3 linked regions of the Kluyveromyces lactis genome follow. The protein of the gene in region 1 purifies or fractionates together with the protein of each later gene. This does not show direct contact. Links are inferred from orthologs where the notes say so. Each region holds a gene or a part of one and is shown in the gene's direction. Other genes may lie near its edges.

The links. The genes of interacting proteins can lie anywhere in the genome.
Region 2: the proteins of PRP45 (region 1) and HSH155 purify together in Saccharomyces cerevisiae (affinity purification with mass spectrometry, with the first as the bait; 3 studies listed by BioGRID). This does not show direct contact. The link is inferred for Kluyveromyces lactis from reciprocal best matches to the Saccharomyces cerevisiae genes PRP45 and HSH155.
Region 3: the proteins of PRP45 (region 1) and PRP19 purify together in Saccharomyces cerevisiae (affinity purification with mass spectrometry; 5 studies listed by BioGRID, with this or other methods). This does not show direct contact. The link is inferred for Kluyveromyces lactis from reciprocal best matches to the Saccharomyces cerevisiae genes PRP45 and PRP19.

The regions. Positions count from the first base shown.
Region 1 is NC_006042.1:223,868-227,343, reverse strand, and holds PRP45 (mRNA splicing protein PRP45), read left to right. Parts: upstream 1-1,302; coding exon 1,303-2,595; downstream 2,596-3,476. Other genes in the region: protein phosphatase regulator GIP4, read left to right, coding at 1-1,119; RNA-binding protein POP5, read right to left, coding at 2,671-3,315. UniProt on the Saccharomyces cerevisiae protein: Involved in pre-mRNA splicing. Associated with the spliceosome throughout the splicing reactions, until after the second catalytic step.
Region 2 is NC_006037.1:833,971-838,640, forward strand, and holds HSH155 (U2 snRNP complex subunit HSH155), read left to right. Parts: upstream 1-1,682; coding exon 1,683-4,547; downstream 4,548-4,670. Other genes in the region: GPI-anchor transamidase subunit GPI16, read right to left, coding at 1-1,416; APL6 (AP-3 complex subunit beta), read right to left, coding at 4,622-4,670. UniProt on the Saccharomyces cerevisiae protein: Contacts pre-mRNA on both sides of the branch site early in spliceosome assembly.
Region 3 is NC_006040.1:326,829-330,521, forward strand, and holds PRP19 (E3 ubiquitin-protein ligase PRP19), read left to right. Parts: upstream 1-1,529; coding exon 1,530-3,005; downstream 3,006-3,693. Other genes in the region: OCA5 (Oca5p), read left to right, coding at 1-1,145; KLLA0_D03905g (glutathione peroxidase), read right to left, coding at 3,300-3,693. UniProt on the Saccharomyces cerevisiae protein: Probable ubiquitin-protein ligase involved in pre-mRNA splicing.

The DNA.
Region 1 (3,476 bases):
TGGAAAAGTATATCAGATAACATGAAAGCCAGCAAATATGACGATATGAACATCGATGAGATGGCAAAGATGGCGGAGGAAAAGTTAGCTGTAGATGAACTAGCATACAACGAAAAAATAAAGGAACAAGAAAGACAAAGGGAGGAAAAAAAGAATTCCAGTCTTTCACAAAAAAACACATCATCTTCATCTTCCATAACTTCAAATTCTTCCTCATTAAACGTTTCTCCAAATATTTTATCGCCTTTAAGACTGAGCCGGACATCTTCAGTTTCGCGGTCAGAAGAATCAAGGTCCCCATCATCACCAATACCTTTCACTGATGCGAAGTCTAATATATCGGCTAAAAAGACCAGATCAGTCAGAACAAGAAACAGATCGTCATCATTGCAATCAGTATCAAGTCTTGAAGATACTTCCACTGCTCGGAATGGTATGAGATCCAATTCTCTTCAATCAGGTTCTCTGAATACACAAAGAATTGTACAGAATGCATATTCAAAAGCATTACTCTCGTTAAATGAGAAAAGAGGCCCAAGACTAACACCAACAAAGCTGAATAATTCTATAAGATCAAAATCACCTTCTCCAACTGTGTCACGGCAGAATTCCGTAAAACAGAGGAACAAAGTGAACATATTGAAGCTAAATGAAGTAGACGAAGATGACATCAATGAGAAATTCCACGATCTGAAGCTGGACGATGATACTCTAATCGTCTCTCAGGAAGTGTTATCTCCAGAAGGTAGTGAAACTCCTAAGATCATAGTTTCTGTTGCCGATGACAATCAGTCGTCTTCAAACAACGACAGCGAAGTTGAAGGTATTGTGAAAAAGGTGAGATTTATAGGGGTTCCGCCTATGTCACAAGATGAAAACCCTGAGCCTAAAAGACGCGGATGGTACAAGAAGCCTGCCGTGTTGCATTATCCACCTCCACCTGCACAGCACTCACTTCAAAAATTCAGAACAACTCAAGAGGGTCTTGCATTTCGCACAAGTTTGATCTCCAGAGACCAAGGTTCTGATAAAAAGTTCGGTTTTGACAGCATGTACTCATCAGGTCAAGGGGCGGATACTAAAATAGTGGGTAAAATCAAGGATAAACTGTTTAAATAGAAAGAATCTTTTAATTTCTATTTGCAGTGAACTTATTTCCATTATAATATCAACTTTTAACAATGTATTTGAAATTTAGAGAAAATATTTAACTATTGAACATTCCCATAATTTATAAAGTAAAGTAGGTAAGGCTTGAAACATAGGAACAAACCTGTTATAACACCACTAGAACGGTCTGACATGTCATTCAGGACACTCAGCTCATTGCTACCGAGTCCGCAAAACTCAGAAGTCTCCGAGTCTTCAGCATTTTCTAGACAATCTAAGGAAAACATAAAGGATACAATAATATTAGACAAGCTACGACCGGAGAATCTACCAGTGGCCTCAATATCTGACTTTGTACCTCTTAGACAACGTGATATATCACTAGAGGCACCGTTCCCATCGACATCACAGATTAATCAAACATATGTAAAGACTAAGGCGTTTCTAGACTCGCTGCTAACGAAAAAGAGCTCTCTACAATTATCGTCTATTGCGAACAAGGACATCGTAAAAAGAGAAGCAATAAGCTCTGTAAAATCTGGTACTCAACGTTCAGTTAAAGTAATAGAACATAAGAAGGATCCTTTACAACCGGTAACACACAGGAAAAGGAAGGTCGTTGTACCATCGGAAGAAATTCAGGCGCCTATACTTCATAAGTCGGATGACCCTAGTATTAAACCTACAAAGGAAGAGCTTGATAAATGGAGAATTCCATCCGCCATTTCGAACTGGAAGAATCCTAACGGATTTGCTATTTCTTTGGATAATAGAGTTGCTATTGAATCAATAAAGACGGACTGCCCAGATAATGATAAGAAGGACAATTTCCTTCTGCTATCTGAGGCACTAGACGAAGCAGAAAGAGAAGCAAGACAGAGAATCAACATTAAGCAAGAGGCGTACAAGGAGTTAGAGAAGGAAGAAACTTTAAAAAAAGAACAAAGGTTACGTCACTTAGCTGAACGTGCTAGACAGGATAGGGAAAATAGGCGACAGTACGAAAATGAAGATCATTATGTTAGGGAAATGGAGCGTAATCAACGTAGGAGAGCAGAACGCGAATTGGAACGGTCGAATAAAATGAGCACAGCAGAAAAGTTAAGACGATTGGCGTACCAACAAGGAAGAGATGTTTCTGATAAAGTTGTTTTAAATGCTGCAAAAGCCACCGAGACCCCAGATCTTCAGTACGATTCCCGCTTGTTCAAGAAAGCGGCATCATCTGTGGCATCATCTTCAAATCAAATTTTCGACCATCCATTGTTCAATAATAGCCAGATTGACAACATTTACAGGCCAACTACTGGTTCTAACTTAGAAAACGAAGATATTGTTGATCGACTCTCAAATAAGAAAGGAAGAACTGGACCGGTAGAGTTCTCCGCTGCTGATGATGGCAAAAATGCGGAACAGAATGAGGAAGATAACGAGCATGCCAGAGAATACGGTCTTCAAGTGCGTAAGAAGCCTCATACTTCTTAATTGTGCGATACCGATATACTGATATAATTGTATGTAATAATATTCAAGCACTACTAATTGAATGAAATCAGCGAATCAGTCATTATTTTCATCGTCAGTGATTGAAGAAAACTCATCATTCCTATCATCTGTCAGAAGTATTCGGTTCAAACGGTGACTTCTTCTGATAGCAAATAACTCAACTTTTTTAATAGTTCCGCTAACTTTTATTGGATTCATTATGATGGGCCCAACAGATTCAATCTGGTTCATCAAAGCAAGTGCCATTATTACGTACTGATGGTCATCATGGCCACATCGTATTATACCGGTTGATGTTCTATTCGAAAAGTATTTGATCTGTAACAAAGCCGTAGCCTTTCCCAAGCCATAGTCCCCGAAATTCACCTGTAATTGTTTTCGTAGTTCCTGCAAAATATTTCTCGGACTGATAGTATTTGGTGATACTTTGTGATGCGTGGTTAAAATGTCCTTCTTGGTTATATCTGGCACTGTTTCGTACTCATCATCTACATCTGGATATAGTACTTCGAAAAGAATGTATCTGCTCTTTAAACGAACCATTGGATTTCTTCTATTTTGCCTATTATGACAGCAAGTTTTATTAATAGTAGGATGAAACCCCCGAATAAACGTTGTTGCACAACCGTCCTTTATCAAAATCTTGATTCCTTCACAGTTGATCTCCATCATAACTCTAAATCTTGTAATGTGAAGCATCTCTCTTTTTTTTTTTTTTTTTTTTTTTTTTGGTTTGTCGCATTCAAGTCACAGAAGAAGAACGAGAATACGCCAAGCATGTCCAATATTTTATGCATTATTGCCGCATCACCAACCTTAACTAACAGATTGTGTAAATATCAGATAATTCATTCTCTATA
Region 2 (4,670 bases), on another chromosome or scaffold:
GGCTAAGGAGGACAAGTATACTCCCATGAACCAAGGCAAGGATTCAAAATAAACTAATTCCACAGCTTCGTTGGAAGGATTACGAAATACTGATCTTAACCCGCCACGGTCTTGGCCATAACCAGTGAGAGCTCTGGAAACGTATATTGGAGTCTTTTTGGAGGGTAGTACACTCTTAGAGTCTGTCGTTTCCAAGCGAACATCATGTGGTTTGTTATTGTTGAGATCGAAACAGTTGTCGTCGGTTGCAAAATATGATTCGTCGACCTGTATCATAACGTCCCAATGTGAGGGAACGTGAACACATATTTTTGAGCTTTGTTCGCCAAGCAAGCTGCCTCCACGGATTTTCTTACCAAATAGTTTTGAGATGCTGAAACTAACTTCTTTGCTTTGAGGTAACGGGAAACATTGGAACGCGTCGTGTGGTCTATTCGTGTCACAACGAAGTTCGTCGCCTGGTAAAGGCTTCGGAATTGGTCTGTCAGCTCTGGCCAAAGCATTTGGTACGTTGACCACTGTTTCGATAAATTCTTCCATAACAAAGTGGCAATTGGCAGTTGATTCGTCACAAACAGTATTGACATCAATCGACAGACTGTGCCAATTTGAATCAAAGATCTTGTGGCCATCTAACAAAGAGGAGATACCAGATTTCCCTCTTGTTGGTAAAAGTTTTACAAATGGGGTCAAATTTTCAGTACAAACCGGTTCGTTGGCTAAAGTTGCTCTCATGAGGTAAAGATGGTTGCTTTGATTCAGTAGTGGGATCGCTTCGTCTTCTTTCGGTAAGAATGATGATACCGGAAACGTCGTCTTTGAAGTGTCAATGAAATTGATGGAAGCACAGAACAATCCACTTAACGAATTGGCCAACGTTATCCATGATTTCAACGCTTCTTCCTTCGATGGTGCTTCCACAATAGCCCATAATTCCACACCTGTTCCTCCAGATTTCAACCCGTTGTGTGGAAGCTGGCCCCATTCTTGTGAATCCCATAGCCCATGTGTAAATCTCAAGTGTAACTGTCTGGTATTAGTCTGTGACATAATGGGCCCAACGGGCTTCGGGAAAACTGTGTGATGAGAGTATTCACTGGATTCGTGCTGGTCTCTATCTATACCAAATGGCTCTGATTGCATATAGAACTGAAAACTTGCAAGCAAAAAGTTGTTAGGCAAGGGAGTTAGATCCAGATGCTCTCGAAAATTATACTCAATAGGATGCTCTAGTGAAAGAAACTTCGAGGACTGTGTTATTCTCGATGATTCCCCAGGCTCTGCATTCCAGCTTTCATCTATAACATCTTGCTGAACTGATTCTGTTTCGTTGTCAACTGGATTAACTTCAAAGTCTACTTCAGCCGTCACGATGGCTGCTAGAAGCAAAACTGGAATCCAATTTTGTAACCTCATGCGGTATGGACCCAGAGTATAATACTTTTCTAAAAGTTAGGCTATTTTCTGGCCTCTTAACTAAACTATCCTCTTTTCTCTGTTGAGAAGTATCGTTCTTTGTTTTGTATATGTGTTTATAATTAAAGATTCGAGTTACAACTTAGTAACAATTTTGATGTCAAGAACCTTTGAATCAAAAGGAAGAAAGGTATAACTGAAAGGCAAGCACCAATCAGGATCTTTATTGCTATTGCCGAGTTTGGTATTAAACAGCTGTACTTAAAATGGAAGCTATCAAGTTCGAAAAGTCGGGCCAGCGACATTCTCTTACAGGACAATACACTGCTCCCAGAGCCATATTGGAATCGACTGTAGGGAAAGATGAGGGGGATGATGAGTTGACAGCCAACCAGAAGCAACGAAGCTTGTATAATAAACAGTCTGATTATCATAAGAGAAGGTTCCTTAGGAATTTGGATGAAGAAGTGGATGAAGAGCAAGTGAAAGATGTGAAAAGAAGGAAAACCGATAAGGATGGTGATAAGGAAGAGGAAAGTGGCGGTGGATATACGATGCCCAAGACTTCGCAGCATATTATAACTGAGCTCTCGGAAGAGATGGTTACTGAAGTTCCAGGGGTACGTAATCTTCAGTTCTTTAAGCCTTCAGACAGACAACATTTCGCAATTTTGTTTGATGAAAGGTCTCCAGAAGATATGACTGAAGAGGAAAGGAAACAGAAACAGGTTTTAAAATTGGTACTTAAGGTGAAAAATGGGTTACCAAGCTCTAGGAAAATAGCTCTCAGAGCACTCACTCAAAAGGCACCCTCTTTCGGGGCACCATTGTTATTTGATTCGATCTTGCCCATTCTTCTCGATAAAACACTTGAAGATGAAGAGCATCAACTAATGTTGAAACTTATGGATAGAATTCTTTTCCAGCTCCAGGATTTGGTAAAACCATATACACATAAGCTCCTAATAGTATTATGTCCTATGCTTATAGATCCTGTGCCCTTGACTAGATCTACAGGTAGAGATATTATAACTACTTTGGCAAAAGCCGTGGGACTACCGACAATGATATACACAATGAGACCAGATCTCGACCATGAGGATGAGTATGTGCGAAACACGACGGCGAGAGCAATGGCCGTTGTATCGAAAGCCTTCGGGGTAAGTCAAACAATACCATTCCTACGATTGGTTTGTAGATCGAAAAAGAGCTGGAAGGCAAGACATACTGGGATAAAGATAATTCAGCAAATTGCTATTTTAGTAGGGATTGGTAGCTTACCATACCTCGACGATCTTATCGCATGTATAGAGAAGGGATTTCAAGATGAACATCCTCCAGTGAGAATCATAGCCGCTCAAACAGTGTCATCATTGGCACAAAGCTGCCAGCCATATGGTATTGAGCGCTTTAATCCGGTCCTCGAACCACTTTGGAGAGGTGTTAAACAAAACAGGGGAAGAGAACTAGCTGCATTTTTGAAGGCTCTAGGATTTCTCATTCCGTTGATGGATCCCGAATATGCGTCGTATTACGCTGAAGAAGTGATGAAGATTGTAAAGAGAGAATTCAATTCACCGAACGAAGATATGAAGAAAACGGTTCTATTTGTTATACAAAAGCTTTCCGTGACTGAAGGTGTAACACCTCAGTATCTGAGAAAAGAGCTAGCAGCAGAGTTTTTCAAACAATTTTGGGTTCGTAGATCGGCTTTGGATCGTCAACTCAACAACATAGTAACATTTACTACTGTTTTATTGGCTAATAAGACTGGAGCTGCATTCACGCTTGAAAAGCTTATATATCCATTAAAGGATGAATCTGAACCGTTCAGAACAATGGGTGCACATGCAGTTAACAGAGTTGTGAAAGCATTAGGAATGACAGATGTTGATGAAAGGCTTGAAGCGAGGTTGCTTGATGCTTTACTTATTGCATTCCAAGATCAAACGAATGGTGAGAGAATTGTCTACAGATCTATTGGAACTGTCGCCAAATCTTTGAATACCAGAATGAAACCGTATATTTCGCCGGTGTCAAGTATTATTCTAGAACATTTGAAACACAAAAAACCTTTGGTTAGAACACATGCGGCGAGTTTATGTGCCCTCTTGATCCCGGTTTTCAAACACTGTGAAGAAACAGCTCTTATCAATAAATTCAACATTATCCTTTTTGAATCGTTAGGCGAAGTTTATCCAGAGGTGTTAGCTGCAATCATTTCCGCAATGGACAAAGCTGCTGCACAGATAAGGCTAACTGACTTACAACCACCTCCGAATCAAATTTTACTATCATTGACACCAATTTTGAGAAACAACCATCCTTTAGTCCAGGAATCTACTGTTAAACTTGTTGGAAGAATTGCCAGGCGTGGGCCTGAATATGTTTCTCCTAAAGAATGGATGCGCATTTGTTCTGAGCTTTTGGAAATGTTAAAAAGTCCTGTGAAGTCCATCAGGGTGGCAGCGAACAGAACATTTGGATATATTGCCAAAGCGATAGGACCTCAGGATGTTTTGGTAACGTTGTTAAATAATTTGAAGGTGCAAGAACGTCAACTTCGTGTTAACACCTCTATTGCAATTGGTATCGTTGCTAAGACATGTGGGCCATTTGTTGTCATACCTGCATTGATGAATGAATACAGAACACCTGACACAAACGTACAGAACGGTATTTTAAAGGCACTTGCCTTTATTTTAGAATACATTGGTCCCATGTCTAAGGATTACATTTATCCACTTATACCGTTGTTGCAGGATGCTCTAACAGATAGGGACTTGGTTCATCGACAAACTGCAGCAACCTGCATAAAGCATTTAGCTTTCAATTGTGCAGGAAGAGGATTAGAGGACGCGTTCATCCATTGCATGAATTTATTATTGCCAAACGTCTTTGAAACTTCACCTCATGTTATTTCCAGAATCCTAGAGGGGCTAGAAGGACTAAGAATGGCTCTAGGACCAGGTGTTTCTATGAATTATGCCTGGGGAGGTTTATTTCATCCTGCTAAGAATGTTCGGAACGCATATTGGAAACTATATAACGGAGCATACGTCGCTCAACCAGATGCTTTGGTTCCGTACTACCCTGTCAATGAGGTAGAAGAGCTTAACTTGTTATTATAACTAGAAAATTGCAGTAATTATTATGTAGTTAAAAATTAAAGATTCTATTGGTTTTAAACTAAGTTAGTGATCTCTCAAGGATCGGAAGAAGTAGAACTCCTGTCGTCTTCCTCACCTTCTTCA
Region 3 (3,693 bases), on another chromosome or scaffold:
TGAGAAAATGGAACAAAATCTGTAAATATGAGTCGGGGCTCATCTGGATAGCTCTTGGCTTGGCAGAATGGTGTCCCTTGAAGAATAACGATGATTTGGTCTTGGCAGGTCGGAAACACCATCATCATAACTCTTGTCTGAGACATTTATATGAGGAATATCCAATTCCTGATGAACTACTGAATCAATTACCTGATACCGAGTTTGATTTTGCCGCTATCTATGAGCGTTTAGTATTAGTGTTGTTTCATGCTCCAGCATTAGACGAAAAACCTGATAAATCTAATTATCACCTACTTAAGAGTGGGAATCTGAATCAACAATCGCAATTGTTCTTCAAGGTTTTCGCCAAGACGTTACCCGAACTGTATCAACCCATCACTGATGAAGGCGCTTTGCAAGGTTCCAAGAAGGCTACTTGGTTGTATTGGTGGATCAAATGTTGTGGTTGCAGAGTGTTGCATCGTCAGGATAGAGGAAGAGTATGGGATGTGTTGCTCGGATGGAGACCACGTCCTGAATCAATCAACTATTATCTCGAGTACAACCATAAATCATTTGAAAGCATTTATCCACCTGAATTGAAACTGAGTTCAGAGATTTTCCATAAGATTTGCAAATGTGAACATGATGAGTTTTGGTTCCCAGATTTGATGTCGTTAAGGCTCGGTCAAAATGGATTGAACCAAGATGAAGATGTCATTCGGGAATTGATACGAAGAAATAAATATGGGGACGATGGTCATACTACAGAAACACAAGAAAATGAGATTCCATATTCGCTCTTGAACCCTCATGCGGAGTTACTTTTCATATATGTTGCCATTATGCAACATAACGAATTTAAACTTTTAGAGTTTGAGGAAACAGAGATCACCGAGTTCTTAAATAATGTCCCACTGATATCAAAATTCGATGACTACAACTTCAAGAAGATGTACGAGGATGATGACATTAGTGGAAGTTCGACAGACACAGATGAATCCAACGCTTCAGGAATTAGACCAAGTTCTTCAAATCATATGATGATAGAGGTCGGTACTGACGATAAGACTGCACACTCGTTTGATGACATCTACCAGCAGGCTGGAGACATCTGGAGAAATTGGGCTTGGCAGGAAATGGAAGAATTCATAGAAGAATGATATATCAGCATTATATTTGTGTCTTTCTTGTATGTAGTATATCTTCTTTTCCTTTAATTAGCATATATATATATAAAAATACTATATACATCTCGAGCTCTATGAATATTGCAGATTGTATTCTAACCTGTTGGAGCGTTCTAACCAGCCAACTAAGATGTGAGTTGATTTGTTAAATAAAGTCATTTCTTCATCCAGTATTTTTTTGCATGTTCAAAAGAGAAACGAAAGCATTTTTATTTAACATTAGAAAACCAACATAAATGTTACATGAAAGATGAAGCACCGATATACATAATTAGATAATGGCTTCAAAAAGGAGAACCTTGGGGCTTACTTCTGGTGAAACTACTTAAGGACTGGCTAAATTGAGGTACGCTAATTATGTTCTGTGCAATTAGTGGGAAACCACCTATAAAAGCTGTTCTTTCACCTAATTCCAAATGTATATTTGAACAGCATCTAATCGAACAGTATATTGAACAGAAAGGAACAGATCCCATAACGGATGATCCATTACAAAAAACAGATTTGGTTGAAATCAATGCGACTCCACAGCAGATATCACTTTCAGAATCATTGAGCTCGTCTACTATCGCAAACAACTATAGCATTCCAAGTCTATTGTCAACTTTGCAGAAAGAATGGGATGCAGTAATGCTCGAGAATTTCGAATTAAGGAAGCAGTTAGACGTTTGTAAAAAGAATCTCAGTGATACACTTTACAGGTTTGACGCTGTTGCATCAGCGGCAGCAAAAGCTTTTGTAGAGCGAGATCAGCTGAAGCAAGAATTAGCAGAACTTACATCGGCAATAACTTCCTCGAATGTCGAAAATGATGGAACTATTGATAAACTCCAGAACTCAGACCAAATTCTATCAGACTTTACTTCAGAATTATCGACGAAATCTCAAGAGTACGTGACAAATTCCAAAAAGTCTAAGAAAAAGCTACAACACTTCTCCAACGTTTCAGTCGTTCAATCGACAGATTTCTCTGAAATTGATTTGATTAGCAGAAATCAGCATGTCAATCTTAATGAAAGATCTGTTGTTGTAAAAGATAATGACAAAGCTTTTGTGTTTGGACCTCAAGATTCTATTCTTGATGTGTCACAAGCCACAGAATATCTGGTGGAGTTTAAAGACGTTCTATACACCTTCACCCAGGGACTATTAGCAGCGTATGACCTTCATACAAAGTCTTTGTTGTATGAAGAAGTTTTGGAAGGAACTGATGGGCCAGTGATATTTATGGCTTATCCTCATCAAATATCGGATTCTTACTTCTTATTCGTAACTGAAAGAGGTACAATATATGGGTATGAAGTTACCAAAAAAGCACTGTTCACCATCTCACAAGTTAAATTGAACGATTCCGTTCAATTTGTGAATTATCATAAAGATGGAGCTCTTCTTGCTATTGGTAACCAAAACGAAGGTGTATATGTAATAAACCTATTGGCTGCTACAAAAGATCCGATTAAATTTTCAACTGGCTTCCCAGCTAAAAGAGTAGACTTTGGTTTGAACGGTTATTGGATGTTTGTCTTTGGTGATTCTGACTTGAATGTTTACGATTTAAGAAAGGATCCAGGCACCTTGGCAATGGAACCACTTTCTTTCGCTGAGAATATCATCAGTGTGGAGTTGGACGATACAGCTAAAGGTTTTTTCGTAAGCATGGGTAATTCACAAGTACAATGGTATGAGTATGTTAAGGGACAGTCATTTGTCGAAAAATCTACTCTTCCGATCGAAACAAATACAGCAGAATCCATGACATTGGTAAAAATAGATCAAGGATATTTCTTGAACGTCATCTCGGAGAATAAATGCATAACATATGAGTTGAAGTAGATATATGATACTTGTCCTAAATAAGGTATAAAAATTGTAATTATTAGAATAATCACTGATTTGATGGTGAGAGTCGTTAAATATATGATCCGATAATACGTCGAAAAATGAACATGTATGAACTCGCCCCCATATATGTACGTGATTTCATCGTAAAAAGAAGTGAAAATCATGCTCTTTAAATATCGAACTGTGTTTGTGTTTTTCTTGCAAGTGAATAAACGGGAAAGAAGATGGCATTACAGAATATGAAAAAGGGATTACCCCGAAGAACTCTTCTTTACCATCTGCTAGTCATGATTGTAGTTGGCTTTTTTGTTTTAGTAATTGTTCGATGTCTTCCTTCATACTTTTCGGTTTCGTCAACGTGGAATACCGTCCATGGACTCTCCCTGAGCGATCGATCAAAAACTTCTCAAAATTCCATCTAACGAACGTGAACCCAAACATTCGCGGTTGTTGATCTTTCAAGTACTTATATAGCGGAAGAGCATTGACACCATTCACTTTACACTTCTTCATTATTTTAAAACTGACACCGTAGTGCTCCTGGCAAAATTTTCCTATTTCTTCATCGGAACCAGGTTCCTGGTTCATGAACTGATTGCAGGGGAATGCTAATATTTCAAACCCTTTTGCATGGAATTCTTTGTACAACTCTTGTAGCTCTCCATATTGACCTCGGAAG